Drosophila melanogaster: one gene and its partners. The protein of the gene in region 1 interacts with the protein of each later gene in a pairwise test. Each region holds a gene or a part of one and is shown in the gene's direction. Other genes may lie near its edges.

Region 1 (8,575 bases):
GTGCAGCACTTGATCCGATGCCGGTGCCAGAGCTTCTGGAGATCGAGGAATACTCTGAAACCGCTGTGGTGCTGCACTGGAGTCTAGCCAGCGATGCGGATGAACACCTGATCACTGGCTACTACGCCTACTATCGACCCTCGTCCTCGGCAGGGGAATATTTCAAGGCAACCATTGAAGGAGCCCATGCTAGAAGCTTTAAAATAGCACCCCTCGAGACGGCCACCATGTACGAGTTCAAGTTGCAGTCCTTCAGTGCCGCCTCTGCATCCGAATTTAGTGCCCTTAAGCAGGGGCGCACCCAACGTCCCAAAACCAGCACCACAGAGGAGCCAACACTGCAAATGGGCGACCGCGATACAACAACTCCCAGTCATAACGAGACATTCAATATGAGTCCCATGCTGACGGGAACAATCGGCGGCGGGGCAGTGCTCATTCTGCTTCTGATTAGCACCTGTTTCTGTGTTTGCCGGCGTAGGAATTCCAGAAGCCGGGGAAACAATCCAAACAAGCCACGGATGGCGGAGCTGAGAGATGACTTTGTGCCGCTGGGCAACTGCTCGCCCACCAAGCAGCGCCAGCGAACACGACACATCCACATAACCTTGAATCCACTCGCCCAGCAGCAGCAGCAGGCGCTGGAGGAGAAGAATGACACAGACCAGGATGCGCCCTATTATCAGCGGCCGTCGAGCTATGACTACGATCCCACGCTGCGCAGGATGTCCTCCTCCTCGCTGCGTCGCTCACAACGCACGCTGGAACGTGCTGGCGGCAGCAATGGCTCCAACAACGGCAACAACAACAATCTAAATCAATCCGCAGAGGCGGGTTCCATCGAAAATCCCGGCAAGCCGGGTCGTGTACTCATGAAACGCCCCCGTCTGTCCAGTCGCTCCGAGAACCTCTCCTCCGGCAGCCTCAACAGCGTTGGCGTGTAATCGCAATCTCGTGATCTTTAGTCTGTGCATCCCTACGCCCGATGTACCATGCTATTCCTCTACCTCTGTTTTATCTACCACTTTGAATGACAAAACCTTTGCTGTTTGTACTTAAATAGGTACTTAAATAGACATAACTAGATTTATGTATGCATGATCGTTTAAGAACATAGCATTATGTCCATTCTACGCTAAGTCTTCCATTTTTCGCGATAAGATCAAAATCTGTACTGATAGCTTCTTAATGACCTATACAAAAATGACAATAAAGCTTGTAGCTTCACCTTTTAACCTTAAAAGAGTTTTTTAACATAAACATAAAGGATTTAGCCAAAAAAATGACATCTCAAGCTAAAAGTTAAAAAACAAAATTATAATTTAAATCTTTGGTATATTTGCGGTATATCAAGTGTTGAAACAGTATTTTTTCGCATTCAATGAGTGGCGTTAGGGATTTGTGCAACATCCGATGGCGTTTGGGATTTAATAAGCTGTCAGCCAATAATTGGGTCGTCGTCAAAATTTCTATTAAAATCGTTTCTATTCCTACATATTTTGGCCGGAAAATCAAATGAAGCTGTTACGCTAGGGACGAAGCTGCACCTTACCCGCACCGAACGTAAGACACTGCTCGTAGGCCCCAGAAAGTGCACAAATTTAAGCGGTTCCCTTTGTTTTCGCAGTGCCAGCAGCAGAGGGCCTGGCCCCCGAAAACAATACAAATCCAAAAATCGCAACTGGACTGAATTGGGCAGGATGTCGAACCTATCCGTGGGCCAGATTATAATGGATGCGCAGCGCATGGCCAGTCGGGTGAAGGACCTGGACGCCCTGGGCACGGCGCTGCTCGAGGAGGCGGAGAACAACAATCGGCTGGTGGAGAGCCTTCGCCAGTATCAGGACGACATTGAATCACTCAACCGCATTTCGAACAACAAGACCAACGCGGACATGGTGAATCGCATTCAGCAGCAAAACATCAACAGCTCGGAGATACTCAAAGAGAATCGCGAGCTAAAGATCTTCATTGAGGACTACGAGCGTGCCATGGAGCTGATGATGCAAAAGTATCGCGAGCACACCGTCTCCAAGGTCCTGGATAGCAAGTTTAGCTTTAAGGAGCTGTACAACGAACGCATGTGGCAGGTGATCCGGGAGCAGCGCGAGAAGATCAACGAAATGGCAGCAGTGATGCAGCTAGCTGCAAGTGTAGATGACGGTGTCGTGCAGCGAGAGCTGCAGACCATATCCCAGCTGCGTCTGGAGAACGAAACGCTGCGCGAGCTGCTGCAAATCTCCAAGCAGTACGGCTCCTCGCAGCGACCGATTCGTGAGAGCGACCACCTGCTGGAGGAGAAGGCTGTGCAAACGGACAGTACGGCGGACGACTCCGCCGACGATCTGTCCATATCGGGCGCCTCGGTGGAAAACATGAACAACAACTCGGTTATCCAGATGTACAGCAGTCCGGAGCAACCGGCTAAAGTCGCCGGCACCACGAACTCATTTAACACTGCACCAGTGCATAGTCAAAGTGAAACACAAGCACCAAGTGTGACATTGGAGACGGCGCCGCCGGGGGAAGAGCCGCTGGCGAATGATAACAATAACGGACCTGCAGTCAACACAACCAGTGCACCGCCGCCAGCGACGACGTCTAACGAATCTGTCGAGGATCAGGCGACAGTAGCGCCCGCAACATGATAGGTGCTGCTGTGCAACGTTGTTGATTCGTTTGGTCTTCATTTGAATCGTATTTACTCACCCACTCACAAAACAGGCCGCGCACGAAGAGGGCCCACATAACCTGCATTAGCTCTTAGCGATTGATAATCTCTAAGTAATTTATACATAATACGAATTTCAACATATTGTCCATACGCATTGAGAACAATGAAGTTTATTATTTAAAACGAGGTAAACACACTCACACCCACACAAATGTAATGTACAATGTACCCTGTCGATTTTATGGTTTGCTAAATAAATTCCAATACAAATCGGGGAATAACCAAAGGAATGAGCATATTTAATTTAACATACAAATGTATTTCAGTAGTGTATTTAAATAAGATGTAACTTTGCTTTAGATTGCTACTCCGTAAGCTAACTAATTCTTAAGTTATTTCCCAAAAGATGTTACGAGTAGAATCCCATCTATTATGCGCCCCTCCCATGAATTTGAATATTTTTGTTAGAAGGCTTTTTAAATTTGGCCATTCTAAATCCCAGCCAAACAGAGAAGCGGTTAAATAATTCATTGGATATGACTCATTGCTTATCGAGTAAGGCTGATCAGAACTTGATATACACACATACTTGTGTGGAGTTTAAATATGAATAAAGTATAGCCACTAAAATTAACATTTGCCACAATGGTTATCAATGGTTATCGAGCAGAAGATTTATGATATAGTCATGTTAATTTTCAAAAAGTCAACTTATTACACAATGAACCAAGTTGAACAGAATCTGCCATGAGAAAAAAAAACAGCAGTAATAACTATAATTTTAGAAGCTTAAGATTCCAAAGGCAAAATATTGGGGTTTAAAAAATTTTAAATAATTTCATTATTGTATTGTTTAAGTTTAATTTGGTTATTAATCAATATGGAAAATTAGGAAAACCAATTTTTTGAATAGATATTATTGAAGTAATTATTATTATTATTAGTTACAGTGTTTTTTTTCTTTAATTCTATCAAATACATTTTTGTAATTTTGATAAATATGGAACCTGAAGTGTAAAAGTAATATTATATGGATACCCGTAAAGATTTATGGCTGAAACTTTCAATTGGCTTGGACTTGAATATTTTTGAATAATTTTCGAATCGCTCTCATCGATTCTCTGCGCCAAAATATCGGTTCTCTTGAGGAAAACACTTTTCTCGCACGACTGGTAGGTAGTTGAAGCTTTCAGAAATAATTTAAATTTAGTTTCTCGTCGATTTTCAACGCGTTCGCAGCCGAAAAAAAAGTGCCAAGGAACTGCGCCCGGTTCGCATGGCAGCCATCTATATAAGTATTTCGAGTGCTCGGGCAATCGACGGTTATATTAAAGCTATATAAATATATAGGCACATACGTGCTTGGCCTTTGTACATGAATGTGAATCGGGTGAAAAATTGAAAACTGCCTGGATCGCATGGTTGATATAAAGATATATCCCTCTAATAATAAGCTATTGATCCAAATCTAACGATATTTCCGGAGAGTCTTGCATTTGAAAATCGTCTGGGTAGATTTATGGGAAGTGCGCTGCCATTTAGCAAGAAGAAAACTATGCTATTTATAAAACACAGCCAATTTCTGTGGCCGTAAATGTTTTGTATAAAGTGAATATTCCAAAATTAAATCAACCAAGCAGCAACCGAGTGTTTGTGTGTGTGTGATCGAAAGTGAACGAAAGGCTTTGGGGATTCCAATCCCTGTAAGAATCTACATATGTACACCAATGCTCCAAACTGCTGTATAATCCGTGTCGAAACGCACTGAATCCCGACGGTTACGCAACCATCAACATCCACATCCACTTCCACATCCAAGAGGCTGGCCCCATTCCCCGTCGTCCAGCCGCAAATTATTCTAAATGCGGAAGTATTTCGTGTAAGTCCACTGCGTTCTAAATTAAGTCACACATTTTGCAAGTGCCAGCGCCGACGAAAAACAGAGCGCCTTAGATGAAAATAGGTTAAAACGCTGGTAATTATTTATAAACGCACTAGGGATTTGCAATCATCGCAGCAGCAGAGCGCACAGAGAAAGGAGTGGTGAAAGCTCCGCGCTTTCTCTTCGCCTTTCTCTTCGCATCGCGCTCTTTCGTTTGAGTTTCGCCATTTTCGCCAAAAGAACAAAAAACATGCGCAAGCGGCGGAAAATCGCCTGCGCAACTAGCTTCCACCTGTGCCAGCTTATCTCGCTCTCTTTCTACTCATAGATCGCTCTAAAAATACTCAAATAGATGGATACATATTTGTTATTGTTTATATTTACCATTTCCATTCGATTGTTTATGCCTGACTGAAGTGACAGATATGAAGGATGATTTGAAATTGAATTAGAAAAGTCAAAGTTTAAGGATGTGAAGCTTTTGTTGTTAGGAGTTTTTTCTTCAATCATAGTACTAGTAACTAGTAAGTTACTTATCATTTTTTAAGTATTCTTAGCAATGGTTACATTTAAATCCAGATTTTAAACATTTTTATAATTATAGTTAAAGTTAATATTTGTATATGTGTATCAATGCGAATATAAGAATGCATATTATCACCTCTTTTTAAAAATAGAATAAATTCCAAGATATACATACATATGTATGTTAAATCGACTTGCTGATTTCCTTTTTTTAGTAAGTTAATTTTTAAATCAGTTTCATTTTTTGTTTCTCAGAGTTAATATATCTGTCTTCCAATGAGGGATAGTTAATTAATCGAAGGCATTGATCTACATCTGCACTTCCAACTCACGTTGACAATAGCCATCAAACCAGGCAGCTATTCAATTTAGAACCAATGGCCAAGTGAATGATAACGAAATGTAAATGTTTAAGTATTTGATGAACGTGTACAAAATTCTTTTGTCGATTTGGCTTAGTGCCAGAAATTCCACAGACTTGCGCAGTCAATTGGGTATTGGGATCGTGCGAAAAGTACATAGAAATAGCAAATGTAAATTTAAAAGATTTTAAACAAAAAGAAAAAAATAAATAAATAAAACCAGTAGTGAGATGTTACGCATACCGTGTTAATTATAAAATAAAGCGTTGGCTTGAGAGGACTTCACACTTCAACTCTTGCAGAAAAAGAAAAGCTGATAAGTTGTACGAGAACAGATGCATCATCTGTACCCATCGCTGAAAGGCGACCAGTTGTGCCCACTCGGCTTTCATCCCCAGACTCGGTATCCCACGCGATGTAAGCGCTGCTTCCGGGATTACAAGGAGCATGGAGCCCGCAGAGCCGGCGAAGAGGTGGCCGCCTCCTCGCCCAATCTCTCCGATGCCCAGAGTTCTCGGTAAGATCTTCCCGGGATTTCCACCTTTGAACATACATAATACTTTATTTTATAGACCCTCTTCGCGGACGTGGACGTCAACTCAAAATCTTACCAGTGCAAACGCAACTAATGGCAATGATATAGGTATGAATGCCACTCGCAACGGTTAAGAAATCTATAAACTTTATGATTAAAATAAAGACGATCACTTTTGTTTATTGTTAATCAGCGCTAGAAGCTAACTTAACTTTGTAGCTGAGTGTGTTCTCGCAAAAAATCATAGTAATGGTATCGAGAACGTGGAATAAATGGAATATTTATATGCATTATAAGCTTAATCTATTTAATAGTATTTGTTAAGTTGTTGATTATAATGTTTGTGTAGAATTCAAATAGTTTCAGTACCCTTGTCAATCGGTTATTGTTTTAAGTATTAAAATTGTTTATGTTTAATACATGTATTAATTAAAAAAACGATTTCTCAATGCAACTAGTAAACTAGAAAAATTTGTCCAAACTCTTAATTTCACTGTTTTATACTTTCATAAACCTGCTAGAAACATAACAATATATGTAGTTTTTGAAATAATTTGGTTCTTAAAGTATTTTTACCATTGAGAAATTGTTCCTCTGACATTTAGTTATAGTAAGTTGCTTAAAAAATTGTTACGAATCTTAATCAATGTGTTTGTCTACTTATCTCTCTCACTCTCACTCTGCGTGTGCACAAAAAACCACCGCCAACTGTGTCATCTCTATTGCTCTGTGTCTGTCTCTGTCTCGCTCTCTCTTACTTTCTCTCAACACTAATCTCTGCATTAAATGAACCGTTAATGTTAACTACTACCATGCCACGCGTGATCTGTACTGCGCTCCCACGCTCTCTCTCTCGCTCGTTCTGTGGCATCCGTTTGTCTCACTCTCGCACCCACGGCTCCGAGTGGAATCGAACGCTAATTGCAAACTGCAACTCGCAACTTGCACCTGCATGCAACACACCTGACGCCCTTACTGAGCCTAGTTGTCCACTTCAATGTAGAGCTGAGGAAGCGTCCGCAGTCATGGGCCTCCACGCCGGATATCGACGAGCCGGACAATGTGGCTCGCCGCCCGCCGGCTACGGCATCCACCAGTCGAGCAGCATCCTCCGCCGAGGATCAGGATGTGGCTGTCACTGTAAAGCTGCCGGTTCCACCGCGACGCCATACCACCGCCTTGGACATCAAGGAGGTAAGATTGCATGGTGACCGGCTATAGAAGATGTCTTTTACGCTCTGCGTGATTTGTATTTCCTAGGTGGAACACGCCATTACACCGCCAACCCGTGTCACATCCTCACCCAGTAAAACTTCAAGTATTCCAGATGAGTTAGTCATCCTATCGACAGACAGTCTAGCAGAGCGTGTCCGTAAAATGAATCTTCTCAAGAAGCAGCGCAGTCTCAACTCCCGGGAAAACAGTCGGGAGCGATCAGTTCCGCGGAGGGAAGAGTAAGCAATTGCAATCTTCAGAGATAAGCAAGATAATAATGTTAAATTTTATCTATTAGAGAAAGCGAGTCTACAGCTACACCCACACCAGTGGTACCCGATCGTCCGGAGCGCAGCAAGTCGGGTACTTCCCTAAACCAATTGGCCCAAGCCGAACAGAAGCGAGCTGCCCTACCGCCAAAGAAAGTGGCGGTGGCTTCCACCACGACGGCGTCCAGCAGTAACAGCAGCAGCACCTCCCTGAAAACCTCAAATTCCACATCCGCCAGCAATGAGGTGAAGGTCGTCACGTCTACGTCCAGTTCTTCGACGAGTTCGAGCTCGGTTCGTCGCAAGGAGGCGGATTCAGTGGCTAGCAAAGAAATCAAAAGACAAACCGTTCCCGCTGCATCGATATCCCACTCCAACAGCACCAGTAGCACCGCCAGCACTGCATCCAAGAGCCAGGACACAAATGGCATGCAAGAGCAAATGAAGGCGCTAAAACTGGAGCTGGAAACGATGAAGACACGGGCGGAAAAAGCGGAGCGGGAAAAGAGTGATATTCTTCTGCGACGTCTGGCCTCCATGGATACCGCCTCGAATCGGACAGCAGCCTCGGAAGCACTTAATCTCCAGCAGAAGCTGAACGAAATGAAGGAGCAGCTGGATCGGGTAACGGAGGACAAACGCAAACTTAACTTGCGGATGAAGGAGCTGGAGAACAAGGGTAGCGAGTCCGAGCTGCGGCGAAAGCTACAGGCCGCCGAGCAGATCTGCGAGGAGCTCATGGAGGAGAACCAAAGCGCCAAGAAGGAGATTCTCAACCTGCAGGCAGAGATGGACGAGGTGCAGGACACCTTCCGCGACGACGAGGTCAAGGCCAAGACCAGTCTGCAGAAGGATCTCGAGAAGGCCACCAAAAACTGTCGCATTCTCAGCTTCAAGTTGAAGAAGAGTGATCGCAAGATCGAAACCCTGGAGCAGGAACGCCAAAGTTCCTTCAATGCTGAGCTTTCCAATAAGATCAAGAAACTGGAGGAGGAGCTGCGTTTCTCCAATGAGCTAACCCGAAAGTTGCAGGTTAATCAGCTAAGTTGATTTCCAAAAGTATTTACTAATAAATAAACTTCCTAGGCGGAAGCCGAGGAGCTACGCAATCCT
Region 2 (8,262 bases), 7.0 Mb from region 1:
CTCCGGTTCGGTGCAGTTGTGCCGCGGACTGCTGCCACAGCCACTGCTGCAGATCGGGCGGCAGAAGCGTCGCGTCTCGTCCAGCTTGTAGCCCGGATCACACTGACAGCTGCCGTCCAGATAGCACTGACCATTTTGGCAGCCCAGCGGGCAGGCAAACACACAGTCACCGTTGTCGTTACGCACAAAGCCATCATAGCACTCGCACTCACCAGGAATCTTACAGCTTCCGTTCTGGCAGCCACATTGCGCCCGGCACACGGTTACGCCCATCAGACGACTGGCCGAGTATCCGGTGCAGCAGACCTCGATCAGGGACAGCCGGTTGGCCTGGTCCGTCTGGATGACACTGGGGTACGAGTACTTTTCCACCGTATCGGGGCTGCTCGAATGTTGGAAAACAAAAAATATTATAACTAAGTTCACCACATTGCTTCCAATTCTCAGTCTATGCTTATGAATTTTGGCAACTAAAAGTTTTACAAATTCTGGGAGTACAGATAAGGCTTGCGATATTATGTTCACAGTAGAAAGTTTATATATATATTTCTGATTATCAAAACATACATATATATATATACATTGTTAAAATAAAAAAATTTTGTTAATGTATATATACTTCAACGTTGTTTTCTGTGTATCTGACATACTTACGGCACCCAAATGCGGCATTTGTGTTGCCCCCTATCGGATTGCGTTTCATGTGATCGAATGAGATACTCTCGTCGTTTCGGCTGCAACTCCACATTTCTGGGATCTTGGAAGTTGGCTGGTCCAGGTCGATTATAGGACAACTGCCGGTTTTCCATGTACCCGCGGCCATAGGTTCCCATTCCTGGATCCTGGGACACAGGCCTTCTGTTGTACCGATCCGAATAGCTTGGCACATTTGTGTAAATACTGGGCAGACACACCATCAGGTGGAAAAAACTTAGACGAATGCGCAAGTCTCGCAACCACATCTTGAGCACTCCTTATTTCAAGTTTCTAGGTGTTCACAATTTGCCAGCTAGAATTGTACTAATTTTCGCCACTGAAACAGAATTAATTTTTTTTGTCTTATCAGAAAAGCAGCTATATTCGATGCATAGGCTAAGATGAGAGGAATTTGGTTCAGTTTGTTTATGAGAGTTTATTATTATGAATACATGTAAGTCGAAATTTTTAAGTGTTGCGACTTGTTTATACCTCAGTTGGATAATTTTCTAAAATATTTTTTCTAATTTTATTTTGAACGAGCCCAAAGCATATTTAAATATAAATAAAATAAAATAAAATATATTTGAATATGCTAATTTACATACCCAAAAGATACTTTTGGTTACTGAAATATTTTATTTGCATCCCATCACTATTTATCCGGGAAATTACAATTCGTAATGAAAGAACATAAAACTTAAGACGATCTTTAGCTCGTTCTTACTTGACATACATTGGCATTGCGAGCCCTGGATCTCCCCCTCCAGATCCGAATTAAGCGCTGAAGCCCTCTTATCATTGCCTCCGGCTGTGATTAGAGGCTGGCCCAACTGCGTCGTCTCCGGAGCAGTAAACAATAGCGACTTGAGCGTTTCGGTAGCGCGCCACAAAGGAATCCGCGCCCAGCACTGAGATGTCAACAATACTGCGATCTCTGTGCCTCCACTCGGTGCTCCTGGTCCTGTTCCTCTGCGTGCTGCACGGCCTGGAGCTGCAACTTCACGAGCAACAGCTGCAGCAGCAAAAGGACGAGCAGCTGCGCCTGCGCGCGGAGCAACGCCAGCGGGAACTGCTGCGTGAGCACGAGGCTCTACAGCGACGCCTCTCGTCCTCGACCACCACACGGAAACCCTATATAATACCCAACGGTTTGTCGCTGCCCCGGAGAGGGGAACATCCGGACAAGTGCCGACAGGAAGTGCCGTAAGTGTGTGCCGGTGACAATCTAAGCCCATTAAATCCTTGGGCTCTTTTAGACCTTGCCCATAACCAGCACAAGTTCTCGTATGGTTTATAACTTTTAATTTTACTGATATATCTCAAAAGCACACATGCATTGTATACACCAATCCAATCTCCAGGGCCGTGTTCTTTCAGTACGACAAGGAGGTGAAGATTGTGGGCAACAGCTCCACCAATCCCTACATGAACGTGATCGAGGTTTGTTGCAAGGGCTGGCGCCGCTATGAATATGACTGGAGCCAGTGCGTTCCGGATTGCGGTGAGCGGTGCCAGGAGAACGGCTTCTGTGTGGCGGGCGGCAAATGCGTGTGCTTCACGGACTTTGTGCTCAACTACCGCAACAATTGTGTGCCCACCTGTCCGTTGGGCTGTCCGCATGGTCGCTGTTACTTGAACGGCACCTGCCAGTGCGATAAGGGATACGAGCTGGACGGATCGCGCAAATTCTGCCAGCCGCAGTGCAACGCCACCTGTGGCCACAACGAGGTCTGCTTGGAGCCGGGCAAGTGCTCCTGCGCCGAGGGATATACCCGAGGACTGAGGGAGTCCGCCGCCCTGGGATGCCAACCGATTTGTATTCCGGACTGCGGATACGGTCACTGCGTGCGGCCCAACGAATGCGAGTGCTTCCCCGGATTCCAAAAACGCAAGAACGGCATCACCTGCGAAGGCGATTGCTATATGTGAGTGTTAGAACTAGACGCCTCTCCTTTTACATTTAATAATTTAATAAATTTCTTTCAGGACCTGCGAGAATGGCTTCTGTGCAAACAAAACGACGTGCGTGTGTCAGAACGGATATCGATACGATAAGAATACGACGACCTGTCTGCCGGATTGCGGGGACAACTGCGATAATGGGGTGTGCATCTCGCCGGGCAACTGCCGCTGCTTCAAGGGCTACGTCCGGAATCGGGAGCGATGCGAGGCGGTCTGCGTGGGTGGATGTGGTTTTTACGGCAAATGCATCGCACCGAATGTGTGCGGATGCGCCATAGTCCCGGGTCCGGAACGCACCTACCAGCGTTGCGAGTACGGATTGTGCAACGCCATGGGAAGATGCCGCTGCCAGGTGGGCATGACGCGATTCATCGATCGCTGCATGTCGCCGGACACGGTCACCACATACGCCTCTATGAATCCCGTCAAGGTGAACGCATCGCTCATCCAGGAATTCAATCTTCTGCTGGGCAGGCACTTCAACTTGACCACACTCAGCGATATGTGGTGGTTGTGAGTTCGGAGCTCTCACTTTTCCAGCATCACTGAGCAGTCTCTAATAAATATTCATGCATTTCCCAAGACGTTGTGTTCTTATCAGGGGTGTCTGAAATATCTTGTGGCTTCATCTCTTGGGATTTCGCTTTTTTGAAGCAAGTCTAGCTTAAATTGTAAACGTACGTCGAAGATTTGGTACCCTCTCGAAAGTTGTTTCATTTGAATAGGTATTTATTATTTGGTATATCACTTATTTTCTGCATAGTCAACATACCCCACGAATACCGGGTACTGAACACATAATTATCTTCCTAGGAATATAGAACATTTCTATCTCCGTACACTTAAATGCCGCGCTTGACACAGACGACAATTTAGTAGCTCCGAGACACTGGCGAGCATTGCGCTCGCATTTTGATACGACCTCGCCTTCAGCTGAATCCGAGCGAAATGCACTTGACATCCACGCTGATTGGACTCCTTATCTGCGGTCTGGGGATCGAGCTGCCCACGCGCACTGCCGCACAATTCTGGTCGGTGGATCCTGTTACGCAGTGGCGAAAAGAGGCTCTGGCCGAGAGGGGATCCGGCATCTGTTACAGGACGCTCACGTAGGTAAACCATTCCGCACGCCTGACCGAATTTCAAGATCAATTCCCACTCCCAGCGTGGAAACCATCAATCCCAACTCCAGAAATCGTCAGTTCTCCTACTGCTGCGATGGTTATGTGAATAAGGGAACAAGCCAGAACCTGAAGTGCGAGCCCATTTGCTCGGAGGACTGCTCCAATGGATTGTGCCTGGCGCCCGAGGAGTGCGAGTGTGCTCCGGGTTACTATCGGAGTAACAAAAGGTGTCGTTTTGTCTTGGAATAACAAAAATAAATAATATCAATTACAATATTTTTTGAGTTGCTTACTTTATCATTATTTGATCAATACTTCTACTATTTGAAATATTATTAACCTGTTTTTTACGACCATTCATGATTACATAGAAACGTTAAATTTTTTTTTTGAAAAAACCTTCATAAGTTTTAAAGGTTCATCATTTTTATGTTCTGTGCCTTTAAATCTGATATTTCATCAAGAAATAATCTCTATACCTGAAGTCATCGTTGTACGCAAACTTTTCTTGGAATTACCCAAAAGCAATGAGTTTTGTTTACGACTCACAATTTATGGCAATGATCGATTTGCTTTGCCCGAAGCTACTGAGAGCAAACCTTCGCTCCGTTTGCCACATTGATGGGTACATTGGCGAGGTGCTGATTAGAAGGGGGACAAGAGGTTGCCGGAGGCGAATGGCGGCTCAGAGATCCGGAGCTTCGCATCGGGAGCCGATTAGTCGATGTGCAACTACAGTCGCCAGCGGACGTGGACGTGGGCGCATAATCAATTTCCATACGTACGAAATCCGTAATCAAGTGACATCACCATGAGGTCATCATCGTGCCAGCTGGTGACTCTGGGCGTTCTGCTGGCCATCTGTTCCCTGGGTCAGGGACAATTCAAGACGGCTGGCATCAAGACACGGCAGCCGCCATCGGGAAACCTGCAGCTTGCCGGCAATAGCAGTGAGTCGGGATGGAGGAGCTACAACCAGAGCAGCTACGGTTGGAGCACTCAAAACCAGAGCAACTACGCCTGGAACCAGCAGAACCATGTGGAACAGGGATCCGCTGGATTTGTGCGCGCCGAGGTCTTTCAACCGGTCACATTGCCGCCCCTTTATGGACACTACGTGCAGCCGGTGACTCCGCCCGCTCATCGTGTCCAGGTCCTGGATGAAACGGCCCTGTTCATCAACAAAACCAGATCTGCCATGGCCAGTGGTGTGTGCTACAAGGAAGTTCCGTAAGTGATGGGTTAATTTCGGACAAAAAATACTAACAATCGAGAGGAAAACACTTTTATAATTCCACTTAAAGCTATCGCCCAATTCGGAAGGCATTCGAAAACAAGGCAAGCCATAAAAATAGTGAACTAACGACCTCAACTTCCTCCGCTGGCCTGATAATTAAAATGCGCCTTGATTTCACGAGTATATGTGTGCCAAGCTAATAATGTGAATGAATTTAATATGCAACGAGCGGAAAGTCAGTAGATAAGCGAAAAGTTTTTAAATTTAGTTGAATTGACTAGTTTCATTTGCATTCTCTTGGACAATATGTAGTTTAAAACTTTAAAGGACAAAATTATTTTTCAATTTTGACACACATCTTTACTAAGGTATTATTTAGACATGTTGATTATCTGTTTTATTAGTTTCCCTAGGAAAAATATATGTCATTGCATTCATGATTTTAAGTTGTTTAAGTAAACCTAATGTTTTCCTTGTTTATATCCAGAACCGCGTCACTGCTCCGCAATTCGCGGGATCAGTTCGTTGGCAATGGCACCACTCCGGACATGAGTCGCATCCAAGTCTGCTGCGATGGCTATGAGCGAAATCCGCACATCTACCGCCGCTGTGAGCCGATCTGCGCGGATGACTGCCGGAATGGAATATGCACTGCTCCGAATACCTGTGTCTGCATACCCGGCCACGTTCGCACCGCCGAGGGCAAGTGCATCTCCACCTGTCCCCTGGGCTGCGGCAACGGAGTGTGCGACGAGCGGAATGAGTGCAAGTGCCGCGAGGGATACTCGCTTGAGCCGGAGACTCGTAAGTACTGCCAGCCGGAATGCAAGCCCGGCTGCTCCTTTGGACGCTGTGTGGCGCCCAACAAGTGCGCCTGCCTCGACGGATACCGCCTGGCCGCCGATGGATCCTGCGAACCAGTGTGCGACAGTTGCGAGAATGGCAAGTGCACGGCTCCAGGACACTGCAACTGCAACGCAGGCTACCTAAAGCTCCAAGGACGCTGCGAACCCATTTGCTCCATGTAAGTGTGGCCTTTAAAAAACAATGAAATCTGCTTGCGATGTATAGTTTAGATAATTTAATTATTTCCCTATTTCAGACCCTGCAAGAACGGACGCTGCATTGGACCGGACATCTGTGAGTGCGCTTCCGGTTTCGAGTGGGACCGGAAGTCGGCCGAGTGTCTGCCGAAGTGTGACCTTCCGTGCTTGAACGGCGTCTGTGTGGGCAACAACCAGTGCGACTGCAAGACCGGATATGTGAGGGACGAGCACCAGCGGAACATCTGCCAGCCACACTGCCCGCAGGGATGCCAGAACGGTTACTGCAGTGCCCCAAACTTCTGCATCTGCAGGCCGGGATTCATCAAGAGCGGCATCAAGGGACGCCAGACCTGCCAGGCCGTCTAACTTAGACTTTCGCACTTTATTGTTTCGTCTTGGATCAGAAATTAAATAGACGCCCTATCAGGGCATTAAACTCATAAGCAAGTTGGCGATTGAAGTGCTTTCTCTTTTCGCTAGTGTTGAGATGCTGACTGAGGCGGTCCGCCTTCAAACAGCGATCGATGAAGTGGGTTTCCCCCGATGGGCAACTGCAGTGCTCGATATCGTCACAGCTTCCGTTCCGGCAATGCTGTTGACCCTCACCACAGCCGCAGATTTCGGGAGCCACACAACGCCCGTATTTGCCGCAGAATCTGCTGAATAAGCGGAACTTCATGAAGGTGAACACAGCTTTTGCTCCGGGTAACAGACCTCTCACACTTTGGCCGACACTCGGCACCGTGGACCTCGTATCCTCGGAAGCAGCGGCACACTCCGGGCGCAATGCACACCCCATTTCCTTGGCCACAGTTGTCGCTGCACTCCGGCAAACAGCTGGTGGTGTTCACGTCGTAGCGATATCCTTCGCGGCAGTGACACTTGTACCGCGACTCACAGAGCCCATTCTCGCAGTTCCTGGAAGCGATAAGCAAATGGCTTAAATTGGCGGACAAATTTAAGATACTTTAGATAAAGATATATCGATACTCTTACAGGTAGCACTCAGCTTCGCATACATTCCAATTGGGCCGTTTAATGAACCCGGCGAAGCACTCGCACTGGTTGGGCGCCACGCACTTGCCAAATCCGCAGTCCGGAGCACAAACCGGTTGGCATCCCAAGTCCGGCGTTCTCCGGTAGCCGGGTGAGCAGTCGCACTGGCCGGGCGCCACACACTCCTCATGGGTGCCACATGACTGCGAACACTTCGGCCGGCAGAACTGCCGGGTCTCCTGATCCAGGACAAAGTTCTGATGGCAGACACAGGTGCCATTTAAATAACATCTGCCATGCTGACAGGCAATCGGACAGGTGTGAATACAGGCACCATGTTCGTTACGGACAAACTCTGCGAAGCACTCGCAAACGCCAGGACTGCGACAGAAGCCATTACGGCAGTTGTCTGGCGAAGATGCGGAGCAGTCCGGCACACATTCATTGGCATACGGATCGCGACGGTAGCCTGCACAACAGACCTCTATGCGATGGAAGTAGATCGTGGATCCATTACCACGCACCGGGGAATCCCGCTCGGTTTGGAAAAACACAGAACTGTAATCATCAAATCGAATTAATCAATGGGCGCTTGTAATCATTTCTCCCAGCATGCGCTCAAATAAATATATATATATTTGTTTATTAATGAACGTTTGTTTGGCATTAAGCTGCTTTGTTTTATTTTCCATATTTTTTAAAACTTCCTTTTACTCACGGCACCTCGCGATGGCACAGATGTTGCTGACGCTCGCGAGTTTGACTTAGTGACTCAAAATCGCCGTACTCCGTATTCTCTATGTCGCCGTAGAGCTCCGTGGAAACCGTGGAATCGGTCTTAATCTGGACAGGAAATGCCACCAGCGTCAGTAGAGCGGTAAGCCCGGCCAACGGTCCACTACAGTGCATCCCGTCTTGGTGTTCTGAGCTTCGATGTCGAGTAGCGAATGAACAGGCAGTCCAGGGGTTTGAATCTACTCAAAAGACCTTATCAGCATCAACTCTCAGTCTCGAAACGAAAACATTCAGAGAAAAATGAAAACATTAAGTTGCCCTTTTCAATCCAGCACATATTGTTTTATTAGACGATTTTATTAAATAATAGTCTTTAACTTACAAAATGTGGCTACATGGCTTTATTCTAATAATTATTTTATGAATCAGCTTTTGCATAAATATAATATGTTTTATAATATAG
Region 3 (8,993 bases), on another chromosome or scaffold:
CAATGCAACACTGAACAGCGAATTCAGTTAACTTCTCTAATTTTTTGAAAATTAAAACATTTGGGTCTTGAAAGCACTGACAGCACTGAACGAAAAACTTACCCGGCAAATCGGCCCGATGGGATGGGAAAATCGGGAGTTACGGCAAAGGAGAGGGTTTAAGTCGAGCTTGAGACTTTAATGCCGGCGTCGACTTTTCGAAGCTTTTGAATTTGCCGCTGTTGTTTGAATTTGTTGGCGGTGTTGTTGTTGCTAATTCTGCAGCTGTTGCATGCGCTCTATTGTGATTTGTGTTTTACTCGTTTTATTGCACTTGACATAACTTTTCGAGGAGATTTAGGAATTTGTGTCGAACCAGAAATTGAGAACGAAACGTAGAACACAAAAGAACTTCGGAATTAGACCCGCTTCTTCCCCAAGAATTGTGATATTTCCGGCCGACGGTATGGTGTTTTTTTTCCACAGAGCACGCGACCGCTTCGTTAAAAACTTGGATTACAACTGAAGCGGCGAATTCTCGGCGACGTAGTACCAACAACTGAGCGCGCTATAGCTAGCTATATAGCCATTGCTTCTCTTTCGCTCGTTTGAGAAGAGAGCTTTGCACTCTTCTTACCAACTGATAAACGTTAATTGGTGTTGCCAGCCCGCGTTGCCAACTACTGGGGGTCTTGGGAAAAAGCTAAAGCTGGAAAAGCTACAGCTAATTGAACTATCGCTCCAGGTAAACCTATAATTTAGCATGGGACTAACAAGCTCACGGGGGAATTTCCCATGAGTGACGAGCATTAAACACCGATGATTAAAGTCGGGTAAATATATTACGATCAGTTTAACGCTGTAATGAATACTTTACACTTTTTTTTTTTTTTAACAGAATCTCTTAATTAAATAGTAATAGCTGTAAATATGGTTTAAGTAATGTTTAAATATTAATAAACATCCAGATACTTAACTTTAAATTTCTTAACTGCGTTACCTACGGGTGCAAAGCTAATTACTTACCAAAAAATAATTTTTCATATACAATTAAAGGACCAATTACCAAGCACGAGGGACTAAGTATTTTAAAATTCCCATTTAGGATGTGTTGTGTAAGAAAAATGCCCAGCTTACCACTTAAGAGGTCTGGCAAGCCCACAACAATTAATATAAAATAAAGCGTTACGATTATGCGAGACAATCTTCATTAATTAGACGCAAGTCGAACATAGAACAAATTAGCCAAGGGTTCGCATCCAGTGGGGGTTTGCGACCCCAACCAACAATGTCATTAACGTCACGTCGCTTTCGCCAGTGTCTCCTTCACCTTTTCCCGTCGCAGGATAAAGGGTGCAGTAATTATATTTACCGTTAATCCTGATTCACCACAAAAGGATAACGACACGCAGGGCAAAGGGTGACCGCCTGAATAGGAAAAAAAAAAATGCAACAAAGAGTGTTAGTAGCGCGAATGTTGTTGGTGCTAAATGTGGGTTACAGCGGTTACAATCAACCTTAATGAACCCGAAAACCAACGCACACGTTTTATCTAGCATTTTTAACTTAGTCAACTAAAATTTGGCTGAAATCAGGGAAAAAACTAATTGCTCACAGAAAGAAATGTGGATTTTGAGTATTGTTGAGGAATAAAAAAATGTTACTGTTACAAAAAAAATGTTACTGTTACAAGGTATCACTCGTTCGACTATTCGGCTTGCACTCGATTCCATCTGCAGTTCATTTACATAGTATTCGATTAAGTGCAATTTACTTTGCGTTTCGATTTCTATGGGTTTCCTTTCTCTATGGCATTTGAAATGAAAAGCGTGAGGCTTAAAGTGCGTTTGGCTCGATTGCCTGAACACTGAAATCAAGTGCGGTAGATTGTGAGCTGCTGGTTGCACTCAAACCCCATTGATTCTCGAACTTTTGCTGGTTCCCTTTAACAATAAACACAGCTCAACTGGCTCAAACCGCAGGTGCAGACTGAACTTTGGTTCTCTAGGTTGCAGTTAATGTTTATCTATTTCCGAATATTGGTTTTATTTTTCTTCAATTGCTGTTCGTCATTCAATTCTTTGAAACCTAAATTTACATGAAATTTTCTAACAGAATTAACACTTGCGAGCCTCAGGCTGTCACATCCGATTCAATAATAACAAAATTATAATTTGCATTATCGTTTGGGTCTTGTTAATAGGACACTCTAGGAGTATAACTTGTTTGGCCTAAGTGCATAAATTGCTAATAAATTGTCACAACATTATGCATATTGGTATTTTCCAGACCATCTCCTTGGCTCTTCAATAGTTTTCCTTCACAAATATTTCATATCGTAGATGCATTTTCCGTTGTACTCGCAGGATAAAATCAAACCAGATTTTCTCATATGTGTATGCGTGTATGTTGCCTTGTACCGTCTATCAGAAATTTGTCTAGAATGTCATTGAAAATTCGCATATTCGGAGAGAGCAGAGTTGGGCACCCTTCCAAAACGAACAAGGATATGGACAAAGGAAAATATATATTTATATGCATTCGCAGGGAAAATTGAAGTCTGAAGAAATCTGAAAAAATTGAGAAAAGCAATCATAATGTAGATATTGAAATATATTGACAGGCGTGCGACTCGAGAGTCACTCCCCAAAATGAGCAAACCAATTTTTGTAGTTCAAGTTCCTGTCCCAAGAGAAATGATGTTTGCTTAAATTTAGCCCAGATGCGATTGCCTCCAACAAAAAATATTAATTTATTTACGACCTTTATAAAAAGTGCTAAAATTAACAGCTGAGCAATGTTTAGCTAATACAAAGCCATCAACTTTCTGTTTGAGGTCTTTGGGAAGAGCAATTCCGACGGACCATCAAAAATGTACTGAATAATTAATATTTATTTAAAGTTTTTGATAAATTTAGCCTTGTTAAGGGCCCAAAATATTTTTTTTGTTATAAAAAAGCAATTGTTGCTAGAATCTATGTTTTAAATAAGATTTACAGTTTCTTAATGGATAGAAATGGAAAATTATATGTGCCAGAAGTCGCTTGTGTAATATTATATATTTTTAAGAGTACTATGCAGTCGCTTTACTGCATACTACAATTTTGATCTTTTGTTTTATTTCACAACTCGATTGATGGGCTTTTAGCAGCTTTTGGTTTTTGTTGCCTGGCTTTTGGCTTCGATAACTGGCGCAACTGTTCACTGTTTTCACTGGCTCAAAGGCGACATAAAGTATATTTTGATTATTTTGTGAGCCAGAAGTTGAGCATTTTAAGGCCCGCCGGCATTTGCATTTCAAATATACTTTTACGACAGCCAGCCAGCCCCTTAGCCTTTGGCCCGCATCCCGCCCGACACCTTCCGCCGCAGGATCTTTTGCTGCGGGCGAGACGAGGTGAGCCACATGGAAGTGGAAGTGAGTGAAATACCACAAATGGCGTGTAAACACAACAAAGAGGTAATAACAATGGATGCCAACGAGGTCCCTGACTTCAAGGACCAATGGAAGGGCGGCAAAAGTAGCCGAGGGGAACTCGTCCGCATTCCTGGAGCCTTTGGGAGGAGTTCTTTACGCAGCGCAGGGGGGGATGGGGGGATGGACTTTGGCACCAAGCGCACCCGCACTTTCGAAAACATTTTTATTTGTTTCTCCGTAAGCTGTGTCAATACACAATAAATTGAACTGAGCAGGAATTTATGTTGGTCCTGTGTGAGGATATTCAGCACCCTATCTGCCCGCTGGCTCTGTTATCGCACTGGGGCGTCAATTGCCTGTAGGCCACCGCCCCCTGGGGACTTAAAAGTTCAATAATATTTATTTGTTACTTGCTCTTTGACAACAAAGCACACGAGATTATACTTAGTCCTAGGCCGTCGTTCATCAAGCCGCGCATATTGGCCCACTCCATTCTACATAATGGCATATTGTCGCACAATACCCGAGACCACAGATATGTCTTCGCCGGGGCAGTAAATTCCGGCCACTAAAGGCGATGATTTTTCAACAGACACCGAGCTAATTTAGTGACCGAATGCCAACGCGGTCACCACCGTGATTTACGGGGTCACCATTTGCACGACTCCAATTATTTGTTGGTTGCCTCGTGACTTTAACCTTAGAGAAAAGTGCTGAAGAACGGATGAGTATATTTCAGCTTAGATTAATGTCAAAATAAAGCTAACACTCGGTTTAAGAGGGAATAGAAATTAACTGCTTAAAATATATATTATATTTTAGGTCGGTTACAAACTGCTAACTCTTAAACTCTTTCATTTTAAAATTGAATAGCTACGAGATTTATATATTCCATGTATCAATCTTTATACCATTTTTAAGAGGCGTCAATTCATATTTTACATCATGGTCGATTTTTGGTGGCGTCGAGCGAACCAATTGATATTCATGTGCGACTAAAATAGGCATTTGTCCGGCGGAAACAAGTGTTTTGTTGGTCATCTACAAATGGCATCCGCGGAATAAAAAATAAATCTTCAATCTTCTGTTGCCAAAGCAGTATTAGCGCGCAGGCGCGAACAAACAGCCGGCAAATAACCCGACGGTTCGATTCCGAAAATTCAGTGCAACCAGAGGGATGTGAACGGCACAAAGCTGGGGAAGTTGGAAACGAACCGGTATGCCACATGAAACAGAGGAGAATCCGATGTGGAACGCTCGACGGAATGGCTATGAATCGGCACTATCCGCCTCGGAATGTTAAGAACTCGATGGGAAGTGGGATGGCGTCGCTCGAACGCGACTCAGTCGAAAATTTGAATCCGGTTCGCGCGGACGTGACTCGGATGGTGGAAGGAAACCCAGACCGCAAACGAAACCGCAACCAGAAGTCAATTTTACGCGTTTATGTCTGAAAGGGACTTGTGCTGAAGAGGCGGGAGTTAGGAAAACAAAATGTGACAACAGAAACGAAGAAAAAAGTTAATGGAAAGTGGCAAAGAAAGAAAAGAAGAATTAAGACAAAGTTAAACCACTTGATGTCCTCTTGGGTGTCCTGTGTCCCGTGTCCTGCAGTGCCGCCTGTCGAGTGTCTTTTGCCGAAATCACTTTTAAAATTTGTTTGCTCCCGCCTTATGCAAATGGATATTAGAATGCCGCGCTGAATTGCGAAGCCGAGGAACAAAAACAGGACCGAAGAAAACAGAGGATTTCTCCAAGGACGCGTAACGTAAAAAAGGGATTATTGTGCATCATTTTGGGCAGCAAGAATAATGCCAAGGAGGGCGAAATAAAAAATATTCTCAAGTCGGATTATGCGATAAATTGTTACTGAAGTGTAAATGTTTTCTCACGTGTTAAATCATTAAATATAAGCCACCCAAGCTGCACACAATTCGTTTAGAGCCCGGCCATATGGCCATTGTTACCTTTTGCCACCGACCTAAAACTCAAAGAAAGCCCATCGAAAGGCAATGTGAAACTTGTTAAACACTATAAATGGTCGAAGTTTTTAAGGTTTTTTTTTGTGCGAAAAGTTTTGGCCATTAGTCATCGAGAACATTGTGTGATAGTTCTGCATGAAAGCCGTGCAAGTTATTAACTTTTAAGAAAGTGAGCCGGGAACCAAGAAAAAGGAAATTCTATGTAATTAATTGCAAAACGATTATGAAAGTTTAAGTGGAAATAAGTTGATTTATATTTCTTGGCAAGTTCGAGCACTTGACTTTTCCATTGATTGAGCTGTTGAAGTAAAACTTCAAGATGTAGAAATATGTTTTCAAAAGTTTTGTTACCATGCAGAAGTGTTAACTCTGTTCAGATTAGTTTTTAAAGAAATACCATTTTTAATGGTAAGGTTATATTTTATTCTTGTTTTAAATACGTATTTTTCTTCACGTGCTTTTAATACTCAATTATATGGTATCCCAAAACCACTTTTACAATCACAATAAAATCGTATGCAAACAACATTTTAGGTAAATGTAGTTATTAGGGATTAAACGGATTTGTGCTGTTCAACAAAATAAGTTTTGGAAGAGACCAAAAAGCTAAATAAACAAATTGGATTACCATGGAATAAAGTCGAGTTCCGATGCCAGTTTATTTGTCTATGCTGGTGCCACTGCATCGCCAATAAAAGTTTGCCACTCAACAAAGGCGAAAACACTTAAATAAATATATAAATCAAGCAACACAAAAATTGTGCAAAACCAAGTGCAGAGACCGAGTAAGCCAACAATGGGTTTGCACGAAAATCGCTTGAGAAAACGCATCGAAAAACTTGTGGCCGACCCATAAAGAAGAATTGCAATTTTTTGTCGAAAGCTAGAAATAAAATCAAATGAAATAAAATAAAATAAAATGAAACAGTATAGAGGTTAGATAGAACCCAAATGGAGGCAAGCCAGGACCCAAGCCAGCCCCAAGTGTATTAATTCAATAAACCTATTTATCTGAGACTTCGACTGGGATTTCGAGAACGGAGCAGAGAATGCGACAAAGTTTGCCAGCCAAGACGGCGCAGTGCAATCAGCAGATCCTGTCTGTCCTGGTCCTGGCCCTCGCCCTGGTCTTGGTCCTAAGGAGCACGAGAAGCCAGATTCGATGCCGCAAACGAGTCCCAATTGGAGGCAGGCGGACAATGAGCGCACAAAAGGCGCTGTAAGTGTCATTGCAGCCAGGAACTGGGCCACTGGGACTGCCACGCAGGACTGGAGCCAGAAGAGCAGCAGTAGCTGGAGCAGCACCAGTCGAAGAACCGGAATCAGCAGAACCAGGACCAGGCCAGCCACGTTGACAACCGAGATGACAGTGGCAGGACGAGCAGAACGAGCAGGAGTAGGAGCGCCGTGGTGTCGCCGATTTTTCCATACATCCCCACTAGCGTCTTGGCTACGCATCAGCTTCGTCCTTTTGGTCCTTCCAGCTCTCGGCTTTGGGATACGTAAGTACAGCTGGGGGGTTTCCCTCACTCCTTGCGTGTGCGTGTGACTTTCATACATTTTTGATTTAATTTAACGCATTCACGTCGCACACTCTAACACACAGTTAACTGGGGATGGAGTCCTATGAACGGGTGGAATACACTTTAGGATTTGATATTCCCTAGTGTTAAACCAGATCCCTCTCTTTGCAAAGGTATCAAATCAGGAAAATGCAGTTTTTACATTTCTTCCTAAATGCACTTTTGTATTTAAACCTTAAATCATGCCTCGTAAAACTAGGAAAACAGCGACATCCTTTCAGTGCATTATGTTCTCCTGTTGTTCTGCCAGATTAACAGGATAAGTATCTCCAACTCCTCGTTTCCTTATTTATTCGGGTACCGGGTGAAAAATCTTATGCGCACTTGGCAACACACACATGGATAATTGTCCTCGTAAGCGGATCCCAAGACGCGAAATAGCTGCTGGCAAATTGTTTTAGTAGTTCTGGATCAGCTGGGGGAGTGGAGGCAAGGAAATTGTCGTTCTTTGAAATTGCGGAGGATGAAACTGGGGGCTGAGCTTCCCGTTGTTTCATTTGATTTGCCGAAATTAGATTAGAAGAAGCCACGGGGCTAGCGAAATGGGAAAACAATGGCCCATAAAAGATGACAAAAAGTTGTGCGGCATTGCGGAGCGATTCCTTATATAGGGGTTCTTCTGGTAATTCTATTTAATAAATAATTTAATTCGAATTTTCCACGTAATTAAGATAACTTCCTTGTGCACAGTGACTAGTTAATATAATTTATTCTGACCCGTAATAAGCACTTGAAGATGAAATATTGAGAAATATGCTAATTATATCGATAGATAGTGTCATTTTTATTCAAGCTAGATATATGTACTTGAAAAAATTGATAACTTAAGATCATGAATGCTTTTAAATTTCCAATCGGCTTTTCATTTTGTATTACAATCTTGCCTTGTTTGAAATTTATTTTACTCTACCAAACTTTCACAAGTAAGCAAGTGATTCAATGCCATTATTAGTATTTATTCCTTAAACAGAATATAAGCTCAAAATTTGTTAAAGTTAAGTGATCTAAATTTCTTGTAAACCCTTTTTTAAAATGGCATGTGCTTCATATGGTGCGTTGATTATGGAAGTTCTTAAAGAAAAGAAGTGCCCAGTGACTTATCGAGAAATCTTAGAAGAAGTAGCCTTTAAGCTTAAAGTTGCAAAAATGCATATAAAGGGCAGCGTAGATGTTGCACTGCGAATTGGCGTAAATAAAGGACATATTCTCAAGACTGGGCACCGATTCTACCTGATGAAATCAGAAAAAAAAAAAAACAAAATGCGAAAATGCCAAAAAAAACTTGTAGATCGAATCAAAAAATGCCGACAGGATACGTCGTTGCTTGATAAAGAATACGATTTTGAGGTTTTGACATATTCCGACGATGAAGAGGCTATGGTGTTTAATTATGTAAATCAAGAGAAGTCAAGCAGAAAACAGAAAACAATACTCCGATGCCATAATCCAGTGTTCAATCCGAAGTGTTAGAAGGAAGGACACAATATGGTACTCACAGAAGTTCAACGTCAATATAAAAAGCGAAAAACGACCAACATAAGTACAAGCTGCCAAAGAAGGTAAATTTGTAGTAATATTAAACTTAAACGGTTTGTAAATTTTAAACCAAAGAATCCAGTTTTTAGGTCCAAAGCGGATTTATATAAAATATGTCATTTTTTACCACAAAAATTTTAAAATACAATACCCATTTTTAAACTTTAAAACAAACATCCGCACCTCTTATAAGTGAAAAAGTTTTAAAATGGCCCACCGTTTCCGCAAATAGTTTCGTAAGGTCCTTAACCTCATTGCTTTCCATCAGCAAAAGCAGCTTCTCATTCTGTCGACTGCCCAATAATGGAGGCAAAAATAAAGCAATAAACTATAACCCTTCGTATAACTCTACGTTGGTCCTTTGGCTTTGCAGCCGCACAAAAATATTAACGAAATTGAAAACTTACCAAAAAATGTTTAATAAACACGTTTACAGCAGTGTGGACTTACCCCTTTCTAAATCCCTTATACGATTTCCCCACTGAGCTGCCCTTC

Evidence for each region.
Region 2: the proteins of CG18304 (region 1) and NimB2 interact in a two-hybrid assay, tested with the Drosophila melanogaster proteins (one large-scale study listed by BioGRID).
Region 3: the proteins of CG18304 (region 1) and dpr17 interact in a two-hybrid assay, tested with the Drosophila melanogaster proteins (one large-scale study listed by BioGRID).

Annotation. Positions count from the first base shown.
Region 1 is NT_033779.5:6,938,122-6,946,696, reverse strand, and holds the start of CG18304 (uncharacterized protein), read left to right. Parts: upstream 1-3,882; 5' UTR 3,883-4,553; intron 4,554-5,745; 5' UTR 5,746-5,778; coding exon 5,779-5,960; intron 5,961-6,015; coding exon 6,016-6,086; intron 6,087-6,963; coding exon 6,964-7,172; intron 7,173-7,238; coding exon 7,239-7,432; intron 7,433-7,491; coding exon 7,492-8,494; intron 8,495-8,548; coding exon 8,549-8,575. Other genes in the region: ihog (interference hedgehog), read left to right, coding at 1-944; Fgop2 (fibroblast growth factor receptor 1 oncogene partner 2), read left to right, coding at 1,701-2,648.
Region 2 is NT_033779.5:13,963,259-13,971,520, reverse strand, and holds NimB2 (nimrod B2), read left to right. Parts: upstream 1-4,502; 5' UTR 4,503-4,596; coding exon 4,597-5,015; intron 5,016-5,509; coding exon 5,510-6,046; intron 6,047-6,124; coding exon 6,125-6,434; 3' UTR 6,435-6,468; downstream 6,469-8,262. Other genes in the region: NimB5 (nimrod B5), read right to left, coding at 1-382, 655-962; NimB4 (nimrod B4), read left to right, coding at 1,613-1,902, 2,061-2,624, 2,686-3,178; NimB3 (nimrod B3), read left to right, coding at 3,610-3,770, 3,827-4,034; NimB1 (nimrod B1), read right to left, coding at 6,469-6,727, 6,783-6,986, 7,065-7,622, 7,783-7,973.
Region 3 is NT_033777.3:12,090,136-12,099,128, forward strand, and holds the start of dpr17 (defective proboscis extension response 17), read left to right. Parts: upstream 1-4,740; 5' UTR 4,741-5,165; intron 5,166-5,494; exon of another isoform or gene 5,495-5,913; 5' UTR 5,914-6,541; coding exon 6,542-6,881; intron 6,882-7,950; exon of another isoform or gene 7,951-8,521; intron 8,522-8,993.